Tribolium castaneum: one gene and its partner. The protein of the gene in region 1 purifies or fractionates together with the protein of each later gene. This does not show direct contact. Links are inferred from orthologs where the notes say so. Each region holds a gene or a part of one and is shown on either strand. Other genes may lie near its edges.

Region 1 (6,399 bases):
ATCTAGCTGTTGGTCCTGTTAAGGTTCACAATATACTCAAAATTTTGGTAACATTTCTGTTAGCAAAGTTTCTAACCGAAAAACTTGCCAAAAGTCAAAATTAATTCGGTATTTTTTATATTTTTGACGAAATTTGAACTAATAATTGCGAAAAAAAAATGTTTTCAATGAAATGTTTCGACTGTTGGTTTTTTTTTGACGAATTTTTGACTGAAAAACGCTTGAAAACAACAAAACCGTTTCCTATCTAATTAGTTCTAACGAAGTTTTTTGCAGTAATTGAAGAATTAATTTTGTAAAGAATTGGGCAAAAATAATGTCATTTTAGACTTATCTTGGTGGAAACTCACAAAAAGTATTGTTTATCTAAAAAACGTGCTTAAATACACATTTTTTTGGCATAATTTGGTGAGTTGGTGACGTTTTGATTGGAAATCGTGTAATAATAATAACGCACCATTTTTGGAATAATTTGGCCTTTTTCAGCTAATTTTTGACGAATTTTTCGAAATTGTTGGGGCTTATATTTTTGGACAAAATGATTTTTTCTGAGACAGTTTATTAATAAACTGAATTTTTGTTCAAAAATGTGCCCGAAGGCATGAGTAATATATTTTTTTTTAAGTTTTGACTGAAAAATTTGCAAAACATTCGAGAAAATAATTTAATTTTTGCTATTATTTGTTAATTGTTTGGTTTATTTTTGATGAAATTTTTAAAGTAATTGCGTTCCTGGCTATTACAGAATAATGACATTTTTGACTTCTTTCGATTTATCAAATATTTGGCAAACGTATTTAGCTTAAAAACTGTTTAGTGAAGACTTGAAAAAGGCACAATTTTAATTTTTCGATTTATTTTTTATTAAACGTAAAACAATTTCATTTCATACCACAATTTTCAACTTCATTAATTTTTTTAAAGTTTATTTTAATGAAATTTCGCAACGTAATTGCAATTATGTCTAAAGAATAGTCTCATTGTTGACCAAATTTAGTGACATTTGCTTTATTTTTGAAACAGTTTTTATAAATAGTTTTTGACGAAAACACAAAATTAATGTAGAGCTTTTTTTAGGCGAAATTTCTCAACTGAATTTTTTGCTAAAAAATGTTCTGAAAGGCTTGAAAGAGACATAAATAATACATTTTTTGACGAAATTTTGTGAAAATCAAAATTCCGATTAAAATGTTTGCTTGAAGACAGAAAAAGTCGAAAATAATCATTAATTACGATTTTTGTAATTTATTTTTGACTGCATTCATTTTCGACCCAATTTGGTGATGTTTGGAATTATATAATTTTTTATTTCTGAGAATAATTAATTTTTCCTTAAAAATAATGACATTTTCGACATTTATTAAACTTCTCGTCTACTTTTCAACTTATTTTTGACGAAAATTTACCAAATAATTGAATTTCACATTAAATTATTTTCGACTTAATTCAGTGATTTTTCGTATCTGGCGAAATATTGGCTTATAGCCAATATAACTCATAGCTAACACTGTTTTAACTTAAATTTAGAAGTTTTGCGAAATAATTGCGTTAAAAAGGCAACAGGAACGATATTTTTGACTTTAGAATATTTTATTTTGTGTTGAAAGTTTAATAAAAAATTTGCACAAAGTATACCATTTTCGTTTTAATTTGATTATTTTTGTGCAATTTCATGAAAAAAATAATTATTTCAAATAAGATTGTGCAGAAAAAGTTCAAATAATCAAAATTCTGATTGAAAAATTTGTAAAGAAAATGCGAAAATAATGTAATTTTAGAAATCGTTTGACAAGTTTGTTGTTAGTTTTTAACTAAATCTTGTAAAATTATTACCATTTTTAAATTGCTTGTCGATTTATTGCAAAAAGTTAAAAAAAGCATGTAGGACACCATTTTCGATCTAATTTGGTTGTTTTTGGATTTTTTTTATCAAATTAGTTTCCAGTCCTAAGAAGTACACTTTTTAACATATTTAGTGACTTTTGGTTTATTTTGGCAATTTTTTTATAGTCACATTTCTGACTGAAAAAGTTAATAAAACACTCATCCAGTGATTTTTCGTATCTGGGGAAATATTGGCTTATAACCAATATAACTCATAGCTAACACCGTTTTAACTTTAATTTAGAAATTTTGCGAAATAATTGCGTTAAAAAGGCAACAGGAACGATATTTTTGACTTTATAAATTTTCGTAACGGAAAGTTTAATAAAATATTTGCAAAAAGTACTATTTTTGTGCAATTTCATGAAAAAATAATGATTTCAAAGAAGATTGAGCTGAAAAAGTTCAAATATAATCTGACTGAAAAATGTGTAAACACCGAGAAAAGGCGAAAATAATTTGATAAGTTTGTTGTTAATTTTTGACCAAATTTTGGAAAATAATTACGTTTTTGGGAAATGAATAATGACATTTTTAAATTGCTCGTTGATTTATTTTAAAAAGCTGAAAAAAATGCAAGTAGAATGTCATTTTCGATGTAATTTGGTTGTTTAGTTTCCTGTCTAAATAATTTAGTGACTGATTTAATTCATGAAACATTCTGATCAAGCAGAAATCAGTGAATGTTCTAAACTAGGTTTGATGTGATTTTGTACGCAGTTTTGAGAAATAGTTGCTAGTATTATTCGAAAATAGCAAATAGTAAGAGTAATTTCGTGCTTTGTTTAATAAAATTTTTTACCTAATTTCGAGACATTTTGGTTAATTTAAAAAAAATTGTATTGTTCAGTGACTAAGTGCAATAATTGAGTTATTGCCACTTTTTCGGTTTAATTTTGACTATGTATTTTCGAATTTCGAGTCATAAAACAATCACTGAACTTTGTGATAAATCGTTAGCGCTGGCAACACTGTCCTGGTACGTTATCGTACTCTTCGTAGTAGTGGGGAGATCGGAACTAAGCACTCAACTCGGAATTTCCAACGTCTGAATTTGACCTTTCTTTCTTTCAGGTTCCTCCACTTGGCGATTGCCGAAGGATTCGTCGAGGTAGTCCTTGCTTTAATCAGGAAAGCTCCCCACCCTTTGTTCCTTGACACCCCCAATGATAACGCCCAAACACCAATCCACCTCGCCGCTGCCAAACAGAACTGGCTAATAGTTCGGTGGTTGGTGGTGGCAGGTGCTAAACCCTGTCCCAGAAACATCCGAGGTGATTCACCCTTACATATAGCAGCACGAAATGGTGATTTACGAACATGCAGAGCCATCACCGATCCAGTACAAGAACAAGAAAGGATATCACTTGGTTTAACTTACCCCAAACAGCCCTATCAGGAGATCAATCTCGACCAATGGAACTACGAAGGTGAGTTGTGTTAATCTCTTGTTTTGGCTTGTGGGTTTTCCTATGATGTAAAGCAACAATGCTGTTATTGCTCACAGGAAAAATAATTCTTGTAATCACATAACGGAACTCGACGAATTATGACAGTTAGAGTTGAGAGAATTAATTTGTTTAACCTTGATTTGCTGGGGTTGTGGTTACTGATTGTACAAATTTGCAGTTGCATTGTTGTGTGATTCAAAAATGGCATTAAGTTACTCATCATAGGCTAATTGCCAAAACAAATTACAAATGTGTCAAGATTACAAACGTCCAGCTGTTTAAAACTGCTTTAAAATAATTGAAATACGTATGTATAGTACAGTCACGATAAAAAAATCTTTTTTGATATGATACGGATAATGTGTACATTTGGATAGTTTACAAAATAACTAACCTGTTTGTTGAAATTATGATTTTAATCGCACTTTTGGTATCCGACCCGGTTGCTAGGGGTGTCATACTTTTTGATGGTGACTGTACATTGTACTTTATTATTATTATTATTTTAAATTCAAATAAATGGTTACGTTTAATATTGCAAATTAAAAAGTTGGGTTCGATCCCTGATACCGCCATTTTTTTTTTATCTGAAATCAAGCGTCTTAAAAGTAGAGTAAAAATAATAAAAAATAAGACCAGTTTACCAAATTTTTTTATCAATTTCATAACAGTTTTTTTTTAATTTTATTGACAACTCAAACTAAATATTTATATTATCGCAAATTGAAAAAGTTGTGATTCGATTACTGATACCGTCAAAAATCTGTTGTGGTTACTGATTGTACAAATTTGCAGTTGCATTGTTGTGTGACTCAAAAATGGCATTAAGTTACTCATCATAGGCTAATTGCCAAAGCAAATTACAAATGTGTCAATATTACAAACGTCCAGCTGTTTAAAACTGCTTTAAAATAACTGAAATACGTATAGTACAGTCACGATCAAAAAGAAAACCGCCGTCACATATCTTTTCGATATGATACGGATAATATGTACATTTGGATAGTTTACAAAATAACTAACTTTTTTGTTTAAATTTTTTGGTATCCGACCCGGTTGGTAGGGGTGTCATTCTTTTTGATGGTGACTGTACATTGCACTTCATTATTATTATTATTAAATTCAAATAAATGGTTACGTTTAATATTGCAAATTAAAAAGTTGGGGTTCGATCCCTGATACCGCCATTTTTTTTTTTCATCTAAAATCAAGCGTGTTAAAAGTAGAGTAAAATAATAAAAAATAAGACCAGTTTACCAATTTTTTTTATCAATTTCATAACAGCTTTTTTTAATTTTATTGACAACTCAAACTAAATATTTATATCATCACAAATTGAAAAAGTTGTGATTTGATTACTGATACCGTCAAAAATCTGTTTGTTTTACCTGTTTTTTTTTTTAATTTTGAAAACTTGTAAGTGTTATTTTCGTTGTAAATTAAACAAGAAATGGGGTGTGATTTCTGATTCAGGCAACCTTATTTTTTTCCTTCATTCCCCCCCAGCCCACTTAACAACACTTTTAAAACCAGAATAAGATAAAAGTAAATAGAGAGTTTGTTTCGTATTTTTTTTTGCGAAAACAGTTGAATTTTTCCTGGATCTTCAGACACTTAATTTATTGCAAAATCATTGTTTTTTAATTTTCAAAACTGTTTAAATGCTTCGTCGTCACAAATTCAAAAAGTTGGGGTTTGATCCCTGATACCTCCACCTTTTTTTTCCTTTATATTAAGCGTTAAAACAACAATTAAAATTGGCATATAATAAATTTGAAATCAGACGGTTTTGCCATTTTTTTTTTTGATAATAAGTCGATTTTATCTAGATATGGAGATATTTGGATTCTTGCAAAAAAAAAATTATTTTGAAAACTTTTATATCGTTGCAAATGGAATCTTTTTTTCGTCTTATATCTTAAAACAACAAATTTAAAACTAGAATAATAATTTTAACTGGATTTCTGTCGCTTTTGTCAACAGAAAAAAAAACTCAAATTGATATTAAATATTATGCCTCGGCTTCGCCTTGGTGAGCCAAAAGCACTCATTTTGTTTAATTACTCTTTCTGAATAATAATTTATTCGAAAATCCAATCAAACACACCGTTCTTATTTTATGTTTAAAATTCTCATACAAGTCAGAAAAATAGTCTCAAAAAAACACTAATTGGTTTTTTGAAAATAACTCAAGTATTGACAAATTTTCTTTGATTTTGTAAATTTTAACTAGCTGTTTTATTGTCACTAATTTGAAAAGTTGGAGTTCAATCCCTGACACCGCCAACTTTTTAAAACAGTTATTTTGAATGTAGACTAAGATAAGTAACAAACCTCTGTTTTACCTTCTTTTTTTGAAAATAAGCACAATGTTACTTGGATTTCTAGAGACTTTTACATATCTATCGTTAAGATGGTTGTAAAACCAGAGTTTTGTGTTTTGAAAACTCAAATTAAATGTTTTTTTGTCACAAATTCTAAAAACTTGGGGTTCGATCCCTGATATCGGCAACTTTTTTTTCTTCATCTGTCAATCATTTAAACAACAGATTTAAAGTCACATAAATAAAATTTAATTTGTGTTACGATTTTTTCTTTTTTTTTTTTTTCATAACATCGAAATTTTCTGGATTTGTAAACATTTATTTATTGTACACATCTTTTAGATTTTTATAATTCACAAAAATCTGTTTTAAAACTAGAGTAAGGTAAAAGAATCACTGTTTCACCAAATTTTTTTTTTTCAAAAAAAGACGAGTTGTTTTAATTAATGTAATTCAGACTAAATGTTTTACGTTGCAAATACATAAAGGTTTGAGCCCTGATACCAATTTTTTCCTATATCGAAAAATGCCCGGTTTTTTTTTCGAAAACAGTAAAATTTTACCTGGATCTGTAGCCATTTGTCCGTAAAATTTCCCGTGATTAATACGAGATTTGTCACTAACACAAAAAATTGTTTTGGTCTTTCATTGCGATTTCTTTTACAAGAATCATTATTTGCGAAATTTCGCTGATTACTTAACTTCGTAGTACATTTCATCACACATCATTAAAGTACAAA
Region 2 (6,557 bases), on another chromosome or scaffold:
AAAAAAGGGTTTTATACATTTCGCCTCAGGTGAGGTTGTTCTGTTGTCAATAATAATAATAATAATAATAAGGCAGTAAGCCACACTCCAAAAAATGTCAGTATAAATACTTCCTACAAGAATTCCATCAACGACTTGTTTAACCTGATAAACATCTTCTAGTTTTACCTTTAAATGACATTCTAACGTAAAAAATTACAATCCAAAGTTTTTTTGGCGAAACGCAATACGAAGTCGTTAGTAGGTATAATGTAACCATTAGTCAATGCAAATGTTACTGATTTAATAATAATATAACGCTAATCATGCGGAAAAATCGCAGGTAAGTGTTTCGAGGTTGATCATTACGTAGCATTATTATTAAAGGAGCAAAAATAAATACTTGCAAGACACTGTGTTATTCAAACGGGATAAATAAAATATTTATAAACTATTTTTTGAGGAAATTATTTTCACCAGCCCAGATCCCCTTCCCTATCAACACTGTGAGCTGTTAAAATTCAAAATAGAGCCGCGTCGGCCAGATTTTTTTCAACACATCGATAATTTGGCGAAAAGTCAACATTTCTGGGTTTTGAGTTTTCAAACTCACTGTATTATTTTCCGTGTGTAAGGAAATTTTGCCTAGCAAACCACCACAAAAGTTAAATTTATTTTTGAAATGGATAATTATGATGTAGATTAACTCAATTACAGGGACAGGATTAAATCAAACAAAATGTTTCCGTTAAATTTATATTTAGAAAAATAATAACTACCCATTACCCACAGAGCAATTAAAAGAACAAAACTTTAAAAAGCCTAAAATAACACCTTTATATTTATGTTACTTCTAAAATTTAATGCAATGGCCACTCTTAACAAAAATCTTGAACACAGAGAGGCTTTTTTATGTAAGTATAGTGCACATGTCCCTGGTTAAAAACATTTTTTTTATTTCTTTCTCGAAAATCTTGACGCAATATCGGATTTCTTATTTAAGCTGCAGCAAAATTTGCTATAAAAATGTACCAGTATAAAATTAGGTATAGCAACAAAAAATTAGGTAACAAAAGAGAAATGGCTCTGTATTATTTAGACGACTTTAAACCACTGGAACTGGAATCCGTTATGAAATACGTACCTGCTTTTATAAAGGGAAGGACCATGAAGCTTATTTATAAAAAAAATGTCTGACGCAACAACAAACTGAAGATGTGTGAGTTTTTTTCACAAAAAAAGGAGTTAATTATTACAAGCTCATTGGTGGCGACCAGTATTTATTTTCAAGGACTATGGAAGAAAAAATACAATAATAAAAAAACATTTATTCTCACTTGGTGTATAAAACCTATACATTTTCTACATAAAATGGATACACTTAAACATCACTATCTAAATAAATCACAGTACTCTTAATGCTGAGACCTCGTTTGCGATCCCACACATATTTTTATCCACAGCTATGTACAAAAATCCCCCGTCCCCAAAGTCCACACCCCACGTATTCCTGACAATATAATGCGGAATACTTGCAGTCAAATCATACCCAACAATCTGGACAGCATGATTTAACTTTGACGGATCCCCATCACAGTGATACTCAATAACACCTCCAATGTAATTCTGCCAAGTTTGCGCATTAATCGCAACAGCCAGGGGTCCATTATCCGCCAAAAGCCTCAACATAACATCTTCAGACCCCACTAATCTGAAAGTTTCCATAAGAAAGAATAAACTTAAAAAATAACTAAACGAACCCTTCACACATGAAGTCTCTAACATGGACACCAGCCGAGCCCCGGCCACATTTACCCCCATAATCGGCGTGTCTTTGAATCGTGAAATTTGTGGCTTTGATCCAAGACAGTAAAGTGCAAATATCGCCCCCATTGCACCCTTTGTTGTTACCAGCGCAATCGATAATTTCTTGCACACTGAGCTCCTCAGACTTGTTGGTTTTGATGGCGTTCATGGACTCCACAGTTTCAATAACAGAGTAGGCCCAGCAGGCCCCACAACTGCCTTGGTTGTAAATTCTAGTCACTGCGTTTTTTTCTCTCCAATCTACTTTATTAGGCACTGTTGCTCGTTTATGGTGGTGTCGTTTTGGCTCATTTGAATGCGTCTTCTGACTCAGGTTTGATTGTAAATAGGTTTGGAAAAATTCCTCTGGTAACAAGTCCGAGAATTTCGTTAAACCGTACAGTGCTGAACCATTCCTTTTTTTGGAATTCAAAGTCTCGATTGTTTGTAGTGATTGCTGAAAAGCGACGTTATACAACAAGGACACAAATTATAAGTTTTACCTTAAATGCATGAAGACGGTTTTGATACACAGAAGGGTCATCGTATGTCTTGTTGAACCTTTTCAAGTACTCTTGAAATTGTGATTCGGCTTGGTCTGGGCCTTTTATTCTTATAGGGATAACGAAAAATAACAGAGCAATGTAGAAAATCGCTTGCAAGTAAGTGCTCCACGAAGCCATTCTTATCAAAACAGATATTTTGGTAACAATGATAATATTGAACTATTTGTCGCTATCGCCATGTTTATTAATTTGATTATCTTGAAACACAATCCTGGCCCAGTTAAGTGACTGAGTGGAACAGAAATTTATAATGAGGGTGAATGAGGTTTAAGCAGGTATTTTTTGATCCACATTGTATAAAATGTCACGACATAACCTCAACGTATGTTGTCAAACCACAAACATAAAAAATAGATGACAGAAATTAACAAAATTACCAAAAAAACTAGAGAATTTATTTATTTATTTTTGTTTTTAATTTATTTTTGCCTATGGTCTTACATTGTTTTACGCAACAGTTGCATAAATTATTCGGTCCAAGATCTTTCCCCAAGATAATATTTTACATTTGGCGCAACTTGTGTAGAATTACATTGCGTTTATTTTCTCAATTACGGCGAAAATATACGACAAAATTGAGATATTTTCAATTATTCGTATGCAAAATTGTCTGGAGAATTGATTGGCGTCGTAAATTCGTAATAGTTTTTCAAGTTATAAACCGAAATAGATTTTGGCTATTTTTGCATTTGTTAGCAATAATAATATTTTTGGAAACTACCAGTAGCAGGACAATGACCTTTTTTTAAACGATAGATGATTAAAAAGAGTTCTGAACACATAAAAGTTCATAAAAGTTGTTGGTTTGGTTGGAGCTACTCAGATAAAAAAAAAATAATTTTTTGAAGGTAAAAAAACTGAAAAAAGAACAGTCTTTTCATTACGTTATTTACCCGATATGCAAGAAAGTTTTCTCTCCAAAAATTATTCAAATAAGCCGCCTTGTAAGCGTCCTCTATCACATCCCTTCCCAATTAGGTCGACTTCCGCTCGCCACACGTCAAACCTTTTCCATTTAGAACGTCAAAATGGCGACTCCAATTTCGAAAAAACGCAAGGTAAATACCAGAAATTGGCCTTTCCATCCACTTAAACATGTTTAACTCTTCATTAGAGCCCAAAATCTTGTAAAATAAGCACACATGTTTGGGCTAACATTCATGTTTACTTGTTCCCCAAACCATAACCCAACATTTTCCCACATGTGGTCCCCAGTTCACCGACTTGATGTTGCGCTTATTTGTAGTTTGTTGGCGATGGCGTTTTCAAAGCCGAATTGAACGAGTTCTTGACTCGTGAATTATCAGAAGATGGGTACTCCGGGGTTGAGGTCCGAGTCACCCCAACTCGCACGGAAATCATCATCATGGCCACACGTACTGACCGTGTTTTGGGGGAGAAGAACCGTCGTATTCGTGAATTGACTTCAGTCGTACAGAAACGTTTCAATTTCCCCGAAAACTCAGTCGTTTTGTATGGCGAGAAGGTGGCCAACAGGGGTCTGTGTGCCATTGCACAAGCAGAGTCTCTTAGATTCAAATTGATCGGAGGTTTGGCCGTGCGCAGGGCTTGCTATGGTGTTTTGAGGTACATCATGGAATGTGGCGCTAAAGGTTTGGACATTTGGCTCAAAACGTATTTTGAATTAATTTAGTGGTTATTTTGCAGGGTGTGAAGTTGTAGTTTCTGGAAAACTGCGTGGCCAGAGAGCCAAATCGATGAAGTTTGTTGACGGTCTCATGATCCACTCTGGGGACCCATGCAATGATTATGTGGACACAGCCACCCGCCACGTCTTGCTAAGACAGGGTGTGCTGGGAATTAAAGTAAGTTTTTGTAAAATTATTGGTGTTTGTATGATGCTATTTTGTTGTATTAGGTCAAGATTATGTTGCCGTGGGACCCCAGCGGCAAAACAGGCCCCAAAAAGCCTCTGCCTGACAATGTCTCTGTTGTGGAACCTAAAGAGGAGATTTTGCCTGCCTACCCCAGCAGTGAAATCAAAGCAGTCAAACCTGACGCACCACCAGCTATTCCAGTAGTAGCTTAAAGTTATCATAAGATTAATTTTCAATAAAATTCTGGAAAGATAACTTTCGTTTTATTTTAATACCAAGAAAAATGCCCTTCCTGTTTCAACCTTATTCCTAATTTTGCCATTGGGAATGTTTTCTCCCTTCTAAAAAAAGAAATTCCTCTAAAGCAGTGAGTCATTAACTGCGACGTGTTTTATCGACATTTCAGAAAATTAGCTAAACTTTGGAGCTACGTAATTTCCAACTAAGTAAGATTTTACAAAATGACACGTAAACAAAAATTTTGGCGAAGCAACTAATTGTTGAGTGAAAAAGGCAAAAGCAGCGTAGATAATTTCCGTTTCTTTTTGAACAAAATATGGTTTAAAAATGTGCTAAAGTAAGCATTTAAAAGACATCGTGATTCTGTCCGTTTTTAAAGGAATTTCGCAAAATAAGAGAGCTTAAAGCAATTTTTAATTTTCGGCCTGTTTACTAAATGTTTATCTCTGAACTGGATCATAGTTCGTAATAACAATAACAAAAATAAAAAATGGGAATAATGAAGAATAATGGGAATAATGAAGAGTATTTCAATAAAACGCCCTTTTTTAAATATTTTTTTATTGTGAAATTACAAACTTTTGCTTATTAACATAACAACATGACATGGAGAAAATTTAATTCGAATGAGTTTTACAACAGAAACCTCCATGAGCACAATGCATTTATAACGATATAACAAAACTACTTTACACCATCCATACTAAAAATTAATAAAAAATCATTCCTGGGTTAAAAGTATATAAAAAGTAACGGACGAAATTTTGCAACCATACCTCAAATTCGTGCAAAAAATTGCATGAACATGTACCAAACAAGTGCAAATAAACAATACTAGGCGTTAAAATTACCCATATCACGAACATTTGATATAATAAGGATACATGGAACAACTAGCTCACTGCTGATGCTGGGCTTGCACCTGGGGAGGTGCTAACTTAACAGTGAAATTGATAATCCCTAGCAAGATTGACTTCACAAAGGAAGGTAGATTGGGCTTTGCTGCGGTCTTTTCGAACAAGATTCTGAGTTCATGGAACATGTTTCTATTGTAAGGGTTACGCCTTGATGTGTACCTTTGAGTCAAAAAATGATAATAGATAAAAGGCGTCAGTAGACTAGCCCGTCCCCTGCAAAAACAATTTTTATAAAAAATATTACCCCATTTAGATTATTTACATAGCGACAAAAAGTACAGTGAGTGGCATCATAATAATCTCAGTGAATGCGATCAGTCTCAAGATATTTAGTGACTGGAATTCGACCAAAGATATCAAGAGGCGGGCGCCCCACCACGAGTTTTGGCCCAAAGTCTGAAAAACAAAAAATTACTAAAACGTTACTAGTGCTGTTACTGACTATTACATCAAGTAGAGTTAGTGAGTAACTGGCTGAATGTAGAATAGCGAACAGAACCACTGGCAACAAAACCACTGTATTCTAGTTAAGGAAATGAATTCAGTGCTGCTCTAATTGAATCAATTCACATTAATTAGAGAAGGATACAGGTCAAGGGTGCCACATAGATAAAAATCATGGAATAGAAGAGATAGTGGCAGCTATCCTCCATCAACAACTGTGCCACAAACTCCCGACTCAGCCTAACCCTCCCCAACCTCTGGTGCAGCCTGAGGGCGTTAATGGCAGCGTTCGCAATGAGCGCCTTGTAATAGGCATTTTGAGCACTCCTGCAACACAACAAAAATTTCTCACTGAGTGAAAGTTGAAAAAGAAAGTGCATATGTGATGGGCTACTTTTCACTCTTAGGATCCTCAACCATACAACGTCCACTTTTGGCGTTTTTACCTAAACACCACAATTAAAAACACAACCCAAGAACAACCGGTTATCAACCGGCTACCTGTAATTAGCATGAGTACAAGGCTACTTACCCGAAAATTGGCAAAAAGTAGCCGCAAGTGAAGAGGATGGTCAGCACCCGAATGGCCCACAACCCACAGTCGATTTTGTGGGTGAGCACGTGCTGCTTGAGGGCCTCCACGTTCAGCCCCCGCTGTCTTTGGTCCGAACTGCTCGATGGGCCCGCACTGTCACTCATTTCTTCGAGATTTGGAAAAACACCAACGGTTTACAGTGACACGTAGGTGGTTAGCAAATTCGCGAAAT

What was found. Proteins that work in one complex are often made in the same cells at the same time.
Region 2: the proteins of cact (region 1) and RpS3 purify together in Homo sapiens (affinity purification with western blotting; 4 studies listed by BioGRID and IntAct, with this or other methods). This does not show direct contact. The link is inferred for Tribolium castaneum from reciprocal best matches to the Homo sapiens genes NFKBIA and RPS3.

Annotation. Positions count from the first base shown.
Region 1 is NC_087395.1:1,374,081-1,380,479, reverse strand, and holds part of cact (cactus), read left to right. Parts: intron 1-2,958; coding exon 2,959-3,314; intron 3,315-6,399. UniProt on the Homo sapiens protein: Inhibits the activity of dimeric NF-kappa-B/REL complexes by trapping REL (RELA/p65 and NFKB1/p50) dimers in the cytoplasm by masking their nuclear localization signals.
Region 2 is NC_087402.1:7,604,621-7,611,177, forward strand, and holds RpS3 (ribosomal protein S3), read left to right. Parts: upstream 1-2,584; 5' UTR 2,585-2,626; exon of another isoform or gene 2,627-2,700; intron 2,701-3,276; exon of another isoform or gene 3,277-3,329; 5' UTR 3,330-3,379; coding exon 3,380-3,409; intron 3,410-3,597; coding exon 3,598-3,964; intron 3,965-4,019; coding exon 4,020-4,177; intron 4,178-4,230; coding exon 4,231-4,401; 3' UTR 4,402-4,444; downstream 4,445-6,557. Other genes in the region: cathepsin O, read right to left, coding at 1,384-1,690, 1,740-2,242, 2,289-2,468; Kr-h2 (Krueppel homolog 2), read right to left, coding at 5,328-5,559, 5,609-5,742, 5,795-5,862, 5,936-6,117, 6,323-6,489. UniProt on the Homo sapiens protein: Component of the small ribosomal subunit. The ribosome is a large ribonucleoprotein complex responsible for the synthesis of proteins in the cell. Has endonuclease activity and plays a role in repair of damaged DNA.